Lepisosteus oculatus: one gene and its partner. The protein of the gene in region 2 interacts with the protein of the main gene of each other region in a pairwise test. Links are inferred from orthologs where the notes say so. Each region holds a gene or a part of one and is shown on either strand. Other genes may lie near its edges.

What was found. The genes of interacting proteins can lie anywhere in the genome.
Region 1: the proteins of fblim1 (region 2) and protein CutA homolog interact in binary tests that used the Homo sapiens proteins (3 or more experiments, as listed by UniProt). The two-hybrid records come from large-scale screens. The link is inferred for Lepisosteus oculatus from reciprocal best matches to the Homo sapiens genes FBLIM1 and CUTA.

The regions. Positions count from the first base shown.
Region 1 is NC_090707.1:37,560,966-37,568,798, reverse strand, and holds the start of protein CutA homolog, read right to left. Parts: upstream 3,006-7,833; 5' UTR 2,926-3,005; intron 2,253-2,925; exon of another isoform or gene 2,062-2,252; intron 1,592-2,061; 5' UTR 1,589-1,591; coding exon 1,523-1,588; intron 695-1,522; coding exon 546-694; intron 1-545. Other genes in the region: eif3d (eukaryotic translation initiation factor 3 subunit D), read left to right, coding at 4,388-4,510, 4,615-4,660, 5,255-5,391, 5,891-5,976, 6,609-6,681, 7,163-7,284. UniProt on the Homo sapiens protein: May form part of a complex of membrane proteins attached to acetylcholinesterase (AChE).
Region 2 is NC_090720.1:298,378-305,309, forward strand, and holds the start of fblim1 (filamin-binding LIM protein 1), read right to left. Parts: upstream 3,008-6,932; 5' UTR 877-3,007; intron 1-876. Other genes in the region: tmem82 (transmembrane protein 82), read right to left, coding at 3,804-3,914, 4,076-4,263, 4,339-4,750, 5,017-5,194, 6,668-6,740, 6,823-6,913. UniProt on the Homo sapiens protein: Serves as an anchoring site for cell-ECM adhesion proteins and filamin-containing actin filaments. Is implicated in cell shape modulation (spreading) and motility.

The sequences.
Region 1 (7,833 bases), on a different chromosome or scaffold from region 2:
TCCCGCCACGCAGCTTCACCGCCGGGGGGGGCGGGGGGGCACAGAAATCCGATTCCAACATCAATTAGATGCAGTGAACTTATGGGGTGAGATTTTGCACTGGCCGAATTAGTAATGTCCCGGGTGGTGACATCGGACACTCTCCCCACGGTATTAATGGCAATCTGTCTCCACACTAGTGGAGCCTGTTAAATAGGTGGGTCCTGCGCTGAATACGCTCGGGGGAAGATCGCCGTCTCTCTTTGTGTACATTCCTGTTACAATTTCATACGCAGTTCCAAACATGTATACAAGGACACAGTTGGATTCAGTGGTTTGTGATGGAAAGTGGTCAATGGCGGGTATGTTCAGCTGTCTGGACTCGGATAAGGCCACTCAAGTTTGGTGCCGTCATGCTCTAGGCTGGGCTGCGGCAGAGAGGTGGCGACCCTGCCCTTCTTATCAGGGCGTGAGTAAAGAGCAGCCCCCCCCCCCCCGCACGTGCGGCGCCCTCCTCTGTCACACTAGCAAACGCGACGCAGGGGGAGGGCGGGCCGGCCCCTCACCTGGCCAGGTCCTTGGCCACCTGCTCGTTGGGGCAGGTGACGAAGGCGGCGGAGTGCGTGCCCGAGACGTACGATTCGGCCGCCATGGAGAACGTGCGCAGTCCCAGAGGCCTCAGCAGCGCGAGCATCGACAGGCTCAGCAGCACAGCCTGGGGGCAGAGACGACAGAGAGACAGCACCAGGACCAGCTTCAGAACCGGTCACATCCTCAAACTAACACGCAGGCCCACAAGTTACTCTGAATCACAGTCCTCAAACCCCTGGCCAGTCCGGGCAGCTAATTCCCCTCCTCTTACAACGCCTAGAGAAAGAAGACTTTCCCTATACCTAATCAGACACCTGTTTAAAGCAACACATTGCCCTATACCCATTTAAAGAACACATTTTGCTATACCCATTAAAATGTGTATTTACAGAAGACACTACCCCATGTACAGTATGTTCTTCAAATACCCATATAAAGAGCACTTTTTCCTATACCTATTTAAACACCTATGGAAAGAATACCTCTTCCTATACCGATTTATATACCTAAATTACTTCTGGTCCCCTGACATGGGGGGACTTTGTATAAAAAGGGCTGTGATTCCTATACGGTCCACCCAATACAGACAAATTCAAGATGACATTCTGCACTTCAATCTCATAGTCCTTGTTTCATTTCAAATCCAGTGTGCTGGAGTGCAGAGCCAAAACAACAAATGTTGTCTGTGTCCAAATACTTACAGACTGCACTGCGTGTCAGAACACACCTCTTCCTACACCTGTGTAAAGACCTGTGGAAAGAACACCTCTTCCTACACCTGTTTAAAGACCTGTACCTATAAAAACTAAATACAACAGGCCCAGGAGTGCCAGAGCAGGCACAGTCTACTGATTGAGTATCCAGACAGACATCGCCAGGGTCTGCCACGCAGGAGAGACAGTGCTTGCTGACAAGGGAGAGCGGGGATTTAGTTCTCTTCTCGGATACTCACTGCACAGGTGTTTCTGACCGCTGACCCGCTCTGCAATCCGTCCAGAACTCGGAGTCCGAATAACATCACCTGCCCAGGAGAGACCGGACCAGTTACAGAGCAACCTGAGCCAGACCAAGCTCAGCGCCGGACAGACAAAACCAGTTAAGACTCCCATATAGAGCAATCTGCGCCAGTCCCAGCTTCGCTCTGGCGTCTGTAACTAGAGAAGTCAGATTTACAGTACAGTAGTTTGGCGTGCTGCGAGCTTAACTATTACCTACAATACCCACAGAACAACACGCAACTTAGTTTATATAAACGTTTCATTCCTTCACTGCCGCCGTTATTTTTGACGTTCTTTAAATTGCGTATAAAACTACCGCCTGATTTAAAAAAAACAATGTTTTTAAAGCACACGCTCAATGTAGGCGGTAGAACAGCTACCGAGCAGTAGCACGGGGATAAGACTTTGCCTTAAAGCAAGTACTGCCAACCATAAATCTACAGAAGCCCCTTTAATTTACTTCTGGCGCCGAGTTTTTTTTTTAAACACTGACCAGCGCTGCTTATTCTGCGCAGACACTAGGAATTGCATCCGAAAAAGTACGTCCCCCCACCCCTTGAAAGCGTGTTTCTGGACTGGGTCCTGAGCGCTGCCTCTACCTGCTGGAGTCCGGTCCTGCACGACTCTGCTACGGGTGCCGCAAAGCAAAACGTTCTGTCGCGGCGCCTCAGCTCTCATCGCTGATAAGACCGACAGCCCAGCGGCGGTCTATATATCTCGTGTCTTTTGACTTTATTTAACAAGAAGCGCACTAAAAGTAAAAAAAACAACAACATTCCCTTGTCGCTGAAAACGGTTCTTCGTCACAAGAATCCCACTGATTTCGAAATAACGATGAATAATTACTACTTTATACATTTCTTCCCCGCCTTTAGGTAAAGGCTTTGTAGAATATTTGTGAGAGAAAGGAAAGCACGTTTATTACAATTCATTGGTGAATAACCTCTTATTTTGCCCCCCAAGTGCTTTATGCTTTATTTATTTCTAGTCCTCAATGACTGAATTTTAGTTTTAGGATTAGATGCGTTTTATTCTTAACTTAGCATTAAACCACTACGTACAAAGCGTAAAAGGAGGCATCTGTGACAAATTTTAAGGGTAAAAGTGGTCACTGGGGATTAGTATTCAGCACCATGTCCAAAGAATACTGGTTATTTCCCCGAGAAATACTGATATTGAATATTGATATTGAATACTGATAAAAGACAGGTGCATGGAAAAAATAGAAGAAATCATTGAACAAAATACTGAAACTTTAATGAGTTTTAAAAAAACATTTTTGTAAGATTACATTTGGCACTAGAATAAGAATGTTTTTATCCGTTACTTGCATCAATATTTCGGTACGATAACATACATGAAACTGTCGTAAAGGAGTTGGTCGGTTCGACAGCAGCAGCTTCCGGCCACGACAGGAAGTACGATCCGCTTTACGGCCCTTGTCTTCCGCCGGCGTTTCGCCACAGCTTCGTGTTGAATTGTGAGATACCGGGGACTAAAATCTCAAGACCATCCAAGAGTTAAAGACCGAGACGGAGGTAAATAACCCCAATAACTGTTACAGGGGAGTTTTCCCGTTTGTCGGTGCCTGTATTGAAGGTATGGATGTTGTTCTTCATACAAATAACGCTGTTGGATTGAGCCGATGTAGATTAACTAGGGGCGGTAGCGCACCCAGGAAGTCTGTGCAAGAATTCAGTGTCAGTACTAACTATAGTTAAGTGTGGCGTCCTGCAGTTATTGAATACGAGGGGCTCTTGGCTCTCAGTCCAGTCTGAGGTGGGGTAGCGGTTTAAATCCAGCGGGTCCCCTGCTTTCCGCACGGGCAGGAAACTGGCCGGGTCGCGCCTGGGGGAGCAGGGCCGGTTGGAGAGGCTTGCAACAGGAGTGTCCGCTTGTCAGCAATCCCCGCCAGACCGGTGTTTGGATCTGCGACGTTATTAACGTTAGAAAGAAAGGAGCTGTAAAGGAATTGGAGCAGGCACCGTCGACGAGGCCGCTGCCGGAAACAGCTGAGGTCTTGTGTTTCTGGGAAGACCAGGAATCGAGCTGTTCTGCAGGGAAAAACAACACGCCATTCATTAGGCACGGCCAGCGTCGTACCTGCTGGCAGACCTGTTGGCGTTTACGAGCGCCACTGGGGAGGCGTGTAATTCACCTCGCCTGTGGGGAAATAGTTAATGGGGTTTATTCCATGTTGGGGAAAAAAAGAAGAAGAAAGAAAACACAACATTTCGGCCGTGGAGCCTTCTTCAGGTGTGTGAAGGCTGAAGAAGGCTCACACCCTCACACTTTACTACCCGAGAGGGGGTGTTGGCTCGTCTTCTTGCCCCGTCTCTTGGCATCTCAGTCATGGGGCTGAAGTCCCAGATGAAGCAGGGGGGCGCAGCTGCAGTCCTGGAGGGACGGGGGGGATTCCCGGTCTCCTCCTGCCTGAGCCCCGAATCGCCGCATTGAGCTCGTCGTGTCCCCGATCGGGCCGACTGCAGGTGTCAGGTCGGTGATGACTAGTCCACTGCGCAAGCCGACAGGTTGACAGTGTCCCTGGAGACCAGTGATGAAAACAGTGCTGTACAGAGTCTGAGACCTGGCGCCTGGCCGTGGGGGGTGGGTGTGGGTGTGTTGTGGTTTCTCCTAAACTGGGTAATACCGAGATCACACAATCGAGTGTTTTTTTTCCCCCCTTGTGCGTCTGCTTACCCGAGCTGTGTTTCTGTGCTGGGTGGCCTGGTGAATCTTGCGTGCAAGCTGCAGCCCACCGAGCCGTGACTGTAGGTGCCTCCTCTCTCTCTCTCCCCACCCCCCCTTTTCCAGGGATCATGGCGAAGTTCCACGCCCCGGTGATCCAGGATAACCCGAGCGGGTGGGGTCCGTGCGCAGTGCCGGACCAGTTCAAGGACATGCCCTACCAGCCCTTCAGCAAGGGGGACCGCCTGGGCAAGGTGAGCGCCGCCGCGGACGCCCCGACTTTCCCCTTGTCGTCCTGGTTTTAGGGTCCGGGAGCAGGCGTGTGGCTTGCACCCTCTCATCCTCCTCTGTGTTTCAGGTCGCCGACTGGACAGGAGCGACATACCAAGACAAAAGATACACAAGTGAGTGGTGCGACTGTAGTGTGAAGGTATTTAGTGGAACAAGTAAGAGGTTTATTCCCTGCTGAAAAGAAAGAAAACACAACGTTTCGGCCGTGGAGCCTTCTTCAGGTGTGAGAAGTTATTTAGTGGGTTTGCGGTCTACTGTCGGTAGCTTTGAGCACCTGATGCAGGGGCATGCATTGGAGCCACTTTGTTTACGTATATTGAAAGCAACATATTAATTGTTACTTATTGAATCTGTAATGAGTTACCTGGACCTGGAATACTCAGTTTCTTGTCCAGCGTTGGCATCTTTTTTTTCCATTGTGGATTCACTTTGGAAGTGTGGGGAGGAGGACGGGACTCCCACAGCAGAGCAGTCTGGGCTGTTTCGGGTTCGGCCTGCTGGGCGTCCTGGAGTTTGAGGTCGTCTCGGCCGCAGACATGGCTTCCAGCAGTGAAAACAGTACGGGGGTTTGCGGCCTGCGGAGCCTCAAACGGATGAAGAATGCTGAGCAGCTGGGAGTCTGGTGGTGTTTTTGTTTCCCCGGCTTCCCCCGAGTGCAGCGGGCTAGCGGAGTTGGATACTGAAGCGCATGTCTTCTCGTGTCCCAGATAAGTACTCGTCGCAGTTTGGCGGCGGCAGCCAGTACGCCTACTTCCACGAGGAGGACGAGACCAGCTTCCAGCTGGTGGACACGGCCAAGACGCAGAAGACGGCCTACCAGAGGAACCGCATGAGGTTCGCGCAGGTACGAGGGGCCGGCCCCGTGTGTCTGTCTGTCTCTGCCGGGCGTGCAGGAACGGAGGGGCTCTGGGTAGCTCAGTACAACTTTCAGACTGCGTCCGTCTCTGGAAGAGGTGACGGTACAGGAAGCAGATGCTTGTTCCGTTTGTATCCGTTATCGTGTTTTTTGTCGTGGAGCGTCTTTTGAGACAAGCCAAGCAGAGAAGAAGCTCCACGTGGTGGGTACAGAGCAGGCGGCTCGCCCTAACTTTGAGAGTCACTCAGTAACATCCTCTGGTCAAAGAGGATTGAAGTCGGCCTTAAACTTCAGTCTGGCTTTTTCACAGCTTGTGCTTCTGTCTCTGAGAATCTGTGGTCTTGTCCCTAATGCAGTCTGTGCCTGTCTGTCTGTCCGTCCCTGAGGATCAGAGCTCCTGTCCCTAATGCAGTCTGTGCCTGTCTTGTCCGTCCCTGAGGATCAGAGCTCCTGTCCCTAATGCAGTCTGTGCCTGTCTGTGTTGCAGAGGAATCTCCGCCGTGACAAGGACCGCAGGAACATGATGCAGTTCAACATGCAGACCCTGCCCAAGAGCGCCAAGCAGAAGGAGAGGTGAGAGGAGACCGAGCTGGCTGGAGACAGGGGAGGGAGGGGGTGGTGTTCGAAACGCTGAACCCCGCAGGGTTTCTGCAGACGGTTACCCTTGCAAGCAGCTGCAAGTCCATTTGCAGTGCAGCGAGAGGAGTAGTGCGGTATTGGCCCTTGTAAACGGATATTGCTAAATGCGAGTGCTAAAATTGAGCCTTGTGCCACCACTGGCACTGGACAGCCCTTCTGGAAGGTTTGCCAGATGCACGGTGCCTCAGACATGCGCTGCTTGATGGCTTTCAGCCTTCGTGACGGTTCAGAAGGCCAAGTCCCTGGGCAACCCCACGACTCCACAGCTGCTCCTGCGGCCTCTGGACAATTTCTTCTGTGCAGAGCTCGGCAGGGAGCAGGGTTCGGAACCTGCGTCTCCTCTAAGCGTCCGCGTTGCACGGTGGGGCGGGACCCTCGGTGAGCGTGCCCCTTCGGGTTTGAAAAGGGAAGAGCGTTTTTTGGGAAAGGGGGGGGCGGGATTGGGGGTGTTGGGCTTCAGCAGAAGGACAGCGCCCGGTATGGTCATGAGGTTATTTACAGGGGGGCTCCGGGGGTTCTGGGCCCAGAGCTGACTCTCTTGTGTAACCCCCCTCCCCCCTTGTCAGGGACCGCATGCGGCTGCAGAAGAAGTTTCAGAAGCAGTTCGGCGTGCGGCAGAAATGGGACCAGAAATCACAGGTAAGGGGAGCTCCTGGACAGACCTGCAGCGGGATTCCCATCTGCCTCTGCAGCTGTGGCCTTGGGACGTCACGAGAGCCGACGCCCCCTGCTTGGCCTGTAATGGCTCGTGCCTTGATAGAATTACATTGTGCGCCCATGCAGGGTCATTTCTTTTACGACCGTATGCGGCAGGTTAGTTGTCAAGGCTATTTCCAAGCGAACGCGAAACGGAGCTTTAAGAGTTGAAATAAGTTGCCGCAAGTTGCTTGGGTGCACTGGGGGGTTGCCAGTTCTCTTTTACAGCTTCTTGATGTTGTAGTCTTTTCAATCCCGGGTAGTATTTGATGCCCACGGAATGATTAAGACGGGGGGTTGCCATCAGTCTGGTGCAAGGGACCGCTGCGCTTGAGAGCGATCCCGAGTGTTTCCGGTTCGTTTTTTGCCTGAGCGTGGAGGCCTCTCTGGGTGAATGTGCGCTCAGGCTGCCCTGCTCCGGCAGGCACAGCTGAAGCCCCGTGACTCCTCGGTGGAGGTCCGCAGCGACTGGGAGGTGAAGGAGGAGATGGACTTCCCCCGCCTCATGAAGATGAGATACATGGAGGTGGCCGACCCCGTCGACGTGTGAGTACCCCCTCTCTTGACCCCTCCCTTTCTTTCTGCACGTCAGTCGGTCGTTCAGAACTCTCCCCCCCCCCCCCAGAGAACATGCAGAAGCCACGTGGGGTTTTGGAGCCCGGAGGAGGGTGCAGTACAGGTTTTACTCTGGTTCCGTGACGGAAATTATAGGTCCCCTTAAGAACACCACTCCTCGTCCTGCTCGGTGGAGCTGAATGTCTGCTCCTTAACCGAGGAGAAAGGCCGCAGGGCGTGTTGCAGTCAGCGCCCGTCGTGACGGGCGTGGTGCCCTGTGAACTTGCTGTGTTTGCGTTCTCTCTGAAGCCAGATGGGAGCGTCGGCATGATGGGTGTTTTGTAAGGGACCCGGCTCTTCCGGTCCCCATGGCGACTGCGGTGACCCCTCTCTGCCCCTCAGCGAGTGCTGTGACAGGGTGTCTACCCCCTGTATTTACCCCTCTCTGCCCCTCAGCGAGTGCTGTGACAGGGTATATACCCCTGTACCCCTGTATTTACCCCTCTCTGCCCCTCAGCGAGTGCTGTGACAGGGTGTCTA
Region 2 (6,932 bases):
CCAGATGCCAGCTCACCCCTGGAACACACTTACCATAGACACAGATCCACACTGGGAGGAGAGGTCTGAGCAGCACTGTAGTTCTGTGAACAGTTCATGAATCATTGAAGTCATTTTGCAAAAAAGATTAAAATTGTCCCACACTAACTAGCCCTCCTTGTACTTTCTTGTGTTGGGAGCAACAAGTTTGTAGCCCTATCTGAACAGGAAACTACTGACCACAGCATTATTGATAGCTGATCAACATTATTTACACATAGATCAAGTAGGGAGATCCGTCAGCATGCACAGGCTACAAAGGAACGGGTAACGGGTTTTATTCCCTGCTGAAAAGAAAAGAAAGGAAACACAATGTTTCGGCTGTAGAGCCTTCTTCAGGTGTGATCGGTTATTGAGAAGGTGGAGAGGTGCTGCCGACACAGCATGTTTCCTGAGTAGCTTCATTCATGGGAGACAAGGGAGTCTAGTAATCATAGCATAGCCAGAGTTCAGAAACAATGATAGAATACTTTATTTATTCAGACACAGAGACCAGTAACCCAGACACACAGATAACAGACACAGAGACAAAGGGATACAGAGACACAGGGATATGGGGATAGAGACCCAGAGACACAGGGATATGGGGATACAGGGATACGGAGACACAGAGGCAAAGGGATACAGAGACACAGAGACACAGGGATATGCGGATACAGGGATACGGAGACACAGAAACACTGGGATACAGAGACACAGAGACAAAGGGATACAGAGACACAGGGCTATGGGGATACAGGGATACGGGGACACAGAAACACTGGGATACAGAGACACAGAGACAAAGGGATACAGAGACAGCAGTTCTCCCTGCAAGACAGGGAATCCAGCACTAACCTGTACCCCAGGGGTCTACAGTAATGAGCCCCTCAGTTTGCTCCAGATGACAGAGAAGTGTCTTGGCTGCACTGTGCAGTGAAGCTCCAGGCTATCAGGGCCGTCAGGGGGAGCCTGCAGATGAGCCTGGCTCTCGCTGTGCGTCTGTGCTGGGCAGACTGGGGTCCCGCGCAGTGTCTGTGCTCCCGGTCCTGGCAGGGTGTCGGCACGGCGGGTCTCTGTCCCAGGACCTGGAGAGCAGCTCCGTCAGGCCACTCCCTTTCCTCCAGCCCTCCCTCCCCCTCTGCGGCTCCGGCTCCGGCCGGAAAAGGTGAACAGTTCTTGAGTCAGAGCCTGAGCTCCACGAAACTGACGCACAGCCTCACCCCCACTGCTTCCCTCCCTCTTTCTCTTTCTCTTTCTGTCTCCTCCTCCTGCGGGGGAGCAGGATGTGAGTAGATACCTGCCCACGGACAGCCCCCGCCCCCCTTCTCCCAGACTCTCCTCTCCCTGCCTCCCAGCTGGAGCTGCTGCTGGCCCCAGACCTGAACAGGACACCCCAGGGTGCAGCAGGTATACGCCAATCAACAGCGTACCAGGTGTTCAGAGTGTCTATATGGTACACAGCCTGTGAACACCTGGCGTTCAGTGTACAGTTCATAAACACACCTGGTGCTTAGTCTGCAAATGTATTAAGTATATGGAGACCTGGTGTTCAGTGTGTTTATGCAGTATATCCACATCTGGTGTTCAGTGTGTGCAGCGCGTACACCCAGCTGTTCGGCGAATCTGTGACACGCAGACGAGGCTGGGAGTGTGTGCAGCGTGCACAAGGCCTAAACGTCACGGATTAACAGCACACGATGACTCTGGCACAGGGACTGAGAAGAGGTGTTCATAAAGAAAGAGGGAGGGGAGTGTGGAGCCGGGAAAACAGGAGCAGGAGCAGGGAGACGCCTGGGACAGAGCGGGAGAGGGGGAGGGGTGTGGAGGCAGGAGTCAGGCTCTGAGGAATGTTCAGGGCTGCTGGGGCTTGTCCGTGATGACATCACCCAGACCCCTGCCAGCCCCTCCTCCTGCCCACAGGGTCGAGAGGTCAGCCCCGCCCACCCCGCTGTCCTGCTGTCAGTCATGCCCTGGGGGCCCCATGCCCCCCCCCCAGACTTCCGCTGCCTGGAACTCCCACCCGGCTGAGCTGGAGCCACACTCCCAGGCAGCTTCTCTCCGGCACAGAGAAACCTCTAGTTTCACTTCTACATTTGGGACTTTCAGAGTTTTGTTCGGACCTCCAACTGCTCCACTGAACCAGCCGCCCCAGCAGGACAGCGCCTGACCCGGCCCAGAGCAGAGGGGAACACTGAGACTTTCCGAGTCCTTTCTGGACACTGAGTGAAACTCACACACTCTCTCGCACACACACAGCTGGGAAAGTGTGTAAACAGCAAGGCTCTAGGAGGGCAGCAGACAGCTCTGGGCTCCTGTCTGAAACCAGGTGAATCGCTGGGCTGGTGAGCTCTCTCCTCGCACTGGACTCACTTCAGGTCCCACTGGTGCGTTTACATCTTTGCCGGGCTGCGCAGACAAACTGCACCAACTCAGCAGAGCTGCGCAGATTCGGCAAACTTCGCAGACCTCCTGCTCCTGGGGTCACAGTGACACCCCCTCTGTCCCAGGCTGCAAGCTGTCAGTATATCACACTGTGGTCCATCAGCATGAGCCAGGCCTGCGAGTCCGCAGGGTCTGACGAGCGCCTGGTCAGTGAGAGTGCTCACACCTCTCTCAGAACAACCGTGTGAGAGTGCAGGACCTGAGCACCATCCCCATCAGCCCCACTACTTCCAAACCAAATATTCGCTAGAGGCAGGGACAATGTCTCTAGAGACAGCAGCAGTGACAGTGTCTCTAGAGGCAGGGACAGTGTCTCTAGAGACAGCAGCAGTGATGGTGTCTCTAGAGGCAGGGACAGTGTCTTTAGAGACAGCAGCAGTAATTATTCATTTTAACTGCCACATGCAACAAAGGAATTTATCTCCACCTTTGAAAAACAACAGAAGTGACTCCCTACAGATACAATCAGCAAAGAACAGGGCAGGGGTGATAAGGGCTCAGAGGGCAGAGCTCTTGCAAAAGAGTCTGTGCAAACACACATACACACATACACACACATACACACACGCACACACACGCACGCACACACACGCACACACACGCTCACATTTGTATTTCTGTATCTGTGGGCAGCTTCCCTCTAACTTTCATTCTCATATTATTTATTACACCAAACTCCATGCAGGGTGAAAACAGTCCTGGAACAGTGGGAACACTGTGAGAACAGACAGTCAGTGGGGAGTTAGGGGACAGTAAGACGCACACAGACAGACACCGAGGAAGAGAGGGAGACGAAGAGAGAGCCAATCTGACTCTGACCGACTTACAGACAGATGCCAGACTGACACACCAACAAAAGCAACAGCACCCTGATCATTGTCCAAATAATATGTACACAATTTAAACTGAAATAATTTGAGGAGGATTGATCTGAAGTGTAAAATACTGGATGTGCTGGCTTGTGAGCAGCGGTCTCAAGGTCCAGAGAAAATGTCGATCTGGACCTCTGGTGGCAGCTCTTGCTACTGCACTGTAAAAAACCAGCACACTGCCTGTATGCCGTTCAGCCAGCAGGGGGCAGTCTTCGTTCCTTTACTCCATCTCCAGTTATCTCAATGTATGACTTTCTCTATCTTTTTCCCTCCCTCTCCTCTCCCTTCTCTCCCTGCTGCAACAGTGCTTTCTGCTGGCGTGAAGGTGTATAAAGTTTAAGTACATGAATTAAACAAGATAGAAAAGTCTCCGCCTAAAGGCTCAAGTCTCTTGGTCCCAGCGGGTGTGCTCAATGTTGGTAGACTGGGAGCCAGCAGGGCTCAGCTCAGGCAGTCTCCTCAGGGCCGCTACAGGTCCTTATCTTTTCTGCTGGCCTGGGCGACCTCAGGACAGCCTCTCAAGCAGACGCCCTCCTTCCTGGGCCCTGGGGAGCCCCTGGTGGGGCCGAGCTCAGCCTCCTGCAGACAGAAACAGGGGGTGAACCTCCCGCCGCCATACCGCTGGTGACGATGCGCCCTTGCGCCGCGCCAGGCCGGAGCCTGCGGTCCTGCCCGGGGGGAGTGTGAGCCGGGAGGCCGGGGAGGGGGAGCTCAGGGAACAGGGGTGCGGGGGGGCGGACCTGTGTCTGGTGGGCTGTCAGCAGGTCCCAGGCCCGCAGCAGGCAGCACCCCTCCCCCAGGAAGCACACCAGGATGTGCAGCACGTCGCCCCAGCGACCGACCGTCAGCATCAGGACCAGCAGCCCCCCGAGTCGCACCACCACGGTCTGGAACACAGCCTGGCCACCAGGGCGGTGCTGCTGCTCCTCTGAGGGGGAGGGGAGAGACGGTCAGTAAAAGACCCAGAAGCGCACACCCCCCCCCCGGCCGCCCCCCCCCTCACCTTGCATGTAGATGACCAGCAAGGTGTAGCAGATCGTCAGGGGAGTCCAGAACCTCAGGGCGTCGGCCGCGGACAGGAAGTCGCGGTTGATCAGGGACAAGGCGGCAACGGCCGCCACCAGGAAGGCCAGGGCGAGGGCGCGGCGCAGCAGGCCCGGGATGGCGTGGGACCAGGTCAGAAGCGCGACGCACACCCCGCAGTACCGCTGGGAGCTGTGCAGCTTGTACATCGTGCCCACGTGCCCCCACAGCGACCTCGTGTGCCAGCACAGCAGCCCTGCCAGCCCTGCGCTCAGCGCCAGGCTCAGGGTGCTCTGCGGCGCCCCCTCCTGGAGGAAGCTGAGGCTGCAGGTCAGCGCACAGCCCAGGGAGAACTGGCACTGCACCAGTAGCTGGCTGCTGTGGAGGGCCTCCTGCAGGCAGAGAGGTGGCACTGCAATGAGTCTTACAGTTCTGCTCTTTATTAGACTGAATTCAATCAGCTGCTTTGCATACAGCAGAGCGTCAAGCATTGTGCCAGTGTTTGGTGTCACTGTTTAGCTCGTCAGTGTTCAGAGTGCCTGTGTTCAGCAGGCCAGAGTTCAGTGTCAGCGTTCAGTGTCAGTCTCACCGGTCAGTCTCAGCGGACCAGTGTTCAGTGTCAGTCTCAGAGGACCAGTGTTCAGTGTGTGTGGCTCACCGGCACTGCCATCAGTCTTGCAGAAACGGCCCGCAGTGAGAACTCCAGCACCACCAGCGCAGCGACCCTGGAACCCACCACTCCCAGCACCGCCGTCAAAACCCACAGCTGGACCGCCTCCATAAACCCGCCTCTCCTGTGCAACTGCACCCGGTCTCCACTGGCCCGGCCCGGGTCACTGCAAAAGCACAGAGACTCCCAGTGAAGAGCAGTCTGATCCAGTCCAGGTTTTACCAGCTGCAGGGCTCTGGCAACAGCAGCAGGTTACTGCAGGACTGAGTGATCCTGCAGACACACTGTCACCCTGCACACAGAGCAGAGAGCTACTGCAGTGAACTACAGACACACTGTCACCCTGCACACAGAGCAGAGAGCTACTGCAGTGAACTACAGACACTGTCACCCTGCACACAGAGCAGAGAGCTACTGCAGTGAACTACAGACACACTGTCACCCTGCACACAGAGCAGAGAGCTACTGCAGTGAACTACAGACACACTGTCACCCTGCACACAGAGCAGAGAGCTACTGCAGTGAACTACAGACACACTGTCACCCTGCACACAGAGCAGAGTCACTGCAGTGAACTACAGACACACTGTCACTCTGCACACAGAGCAGAGAGCTACTGCAGTGAACTACAGACACACTGTCACTCTGCACACAGAGCAGAGTTACTGCAGTGAACTACAGACACACTGTCACCCTGCACAAAGAGCAGAGTCACTGCAGTGAACTACAGACACACTGTCACTCTGCACACAGAGCAGAGTCACTGCAGTGAACTAGACACACTGTCACTCTGCACACAGAGCAGAGTTACTGCAGTGAACTACTGACACACTGTCACCCTGCACACAGAGCAGAGAGCTACTGCAGTGAACTACAGACACACTGTCACCCTGCACACAGAGCAGAGAGCAACTGCAGTGAACTACAGACACACTGTCACCCTGCACACAGAGCAGAGAGCTACTGCAGTGAACTACAGACACACTGTCACCCTGCACACAGAGCAGAGCTACTGCAGTGAACTACAGACACACTGTCACCCCGCACACAGAGCAGAGTTACTGCAGTGAACTAGACACACAGTCACCCTGCACACAGAGCAGAGTCACTGCAGTGAACTACAGACACACTGTCACCCCGCACACAGAGCAGAGAGCTACTGCAGTGAACTACAGACACACTGTCACCCCGCACACAGAGCAGAGCTACTGCAGTGAACTACAGACACACTGTCACCCCGCACACAGCAGTGTCACTGCAGTGAACTACAGACACACTGTCACCCCGCACACAGAGCAGAGCTACTGCAGTGAACTACAGACACACTGTCACCCCGCACACAGCAGTGTCACTGCAGTGAACTACAGACACACTGTCACCCTGCACACAGAGAAGAGCTACTGCAGTGAACTACAGACACACTGTCACCCCGCACACAGCAGTGTCACTGCAGTGCTACTTGAATAACTCTCAGTGTTTACAGTACTGCTGATTCTCCGGTCCAGCTCTCAGTACACTGGAGCACCACACCCTGGACAGTCTCACACTCTGGTCAAGCCGATGACGATGTGGCCCTTCAGACGCGATGACCCTTCCAGGGGTCACTGCAGGCGCGTCCAGCTCTGGACAGGCGACTCACCTGAAGCCTTTGATGAACGCGTGCACGCGCAGCAGGTTACACAGCACCGAGATCCCGCACGCGCCCACCAGCCCTGTCGGGAAACAGACACGCCGGTGGGTCGCGGGCCAGGCGGAAGTGAGCGGCGGCCGGACCCCGGGGGGGCGGGCTCTTACCCTGCAGCAGCGAGTCTAGCGTGGCGGTGCCGGGCGACAGCCACGACACGCCGGGGAGAGCGGGCAGCCAGGACCGCAGGACGGACAGCATTCCTGCCGCGACACACGGC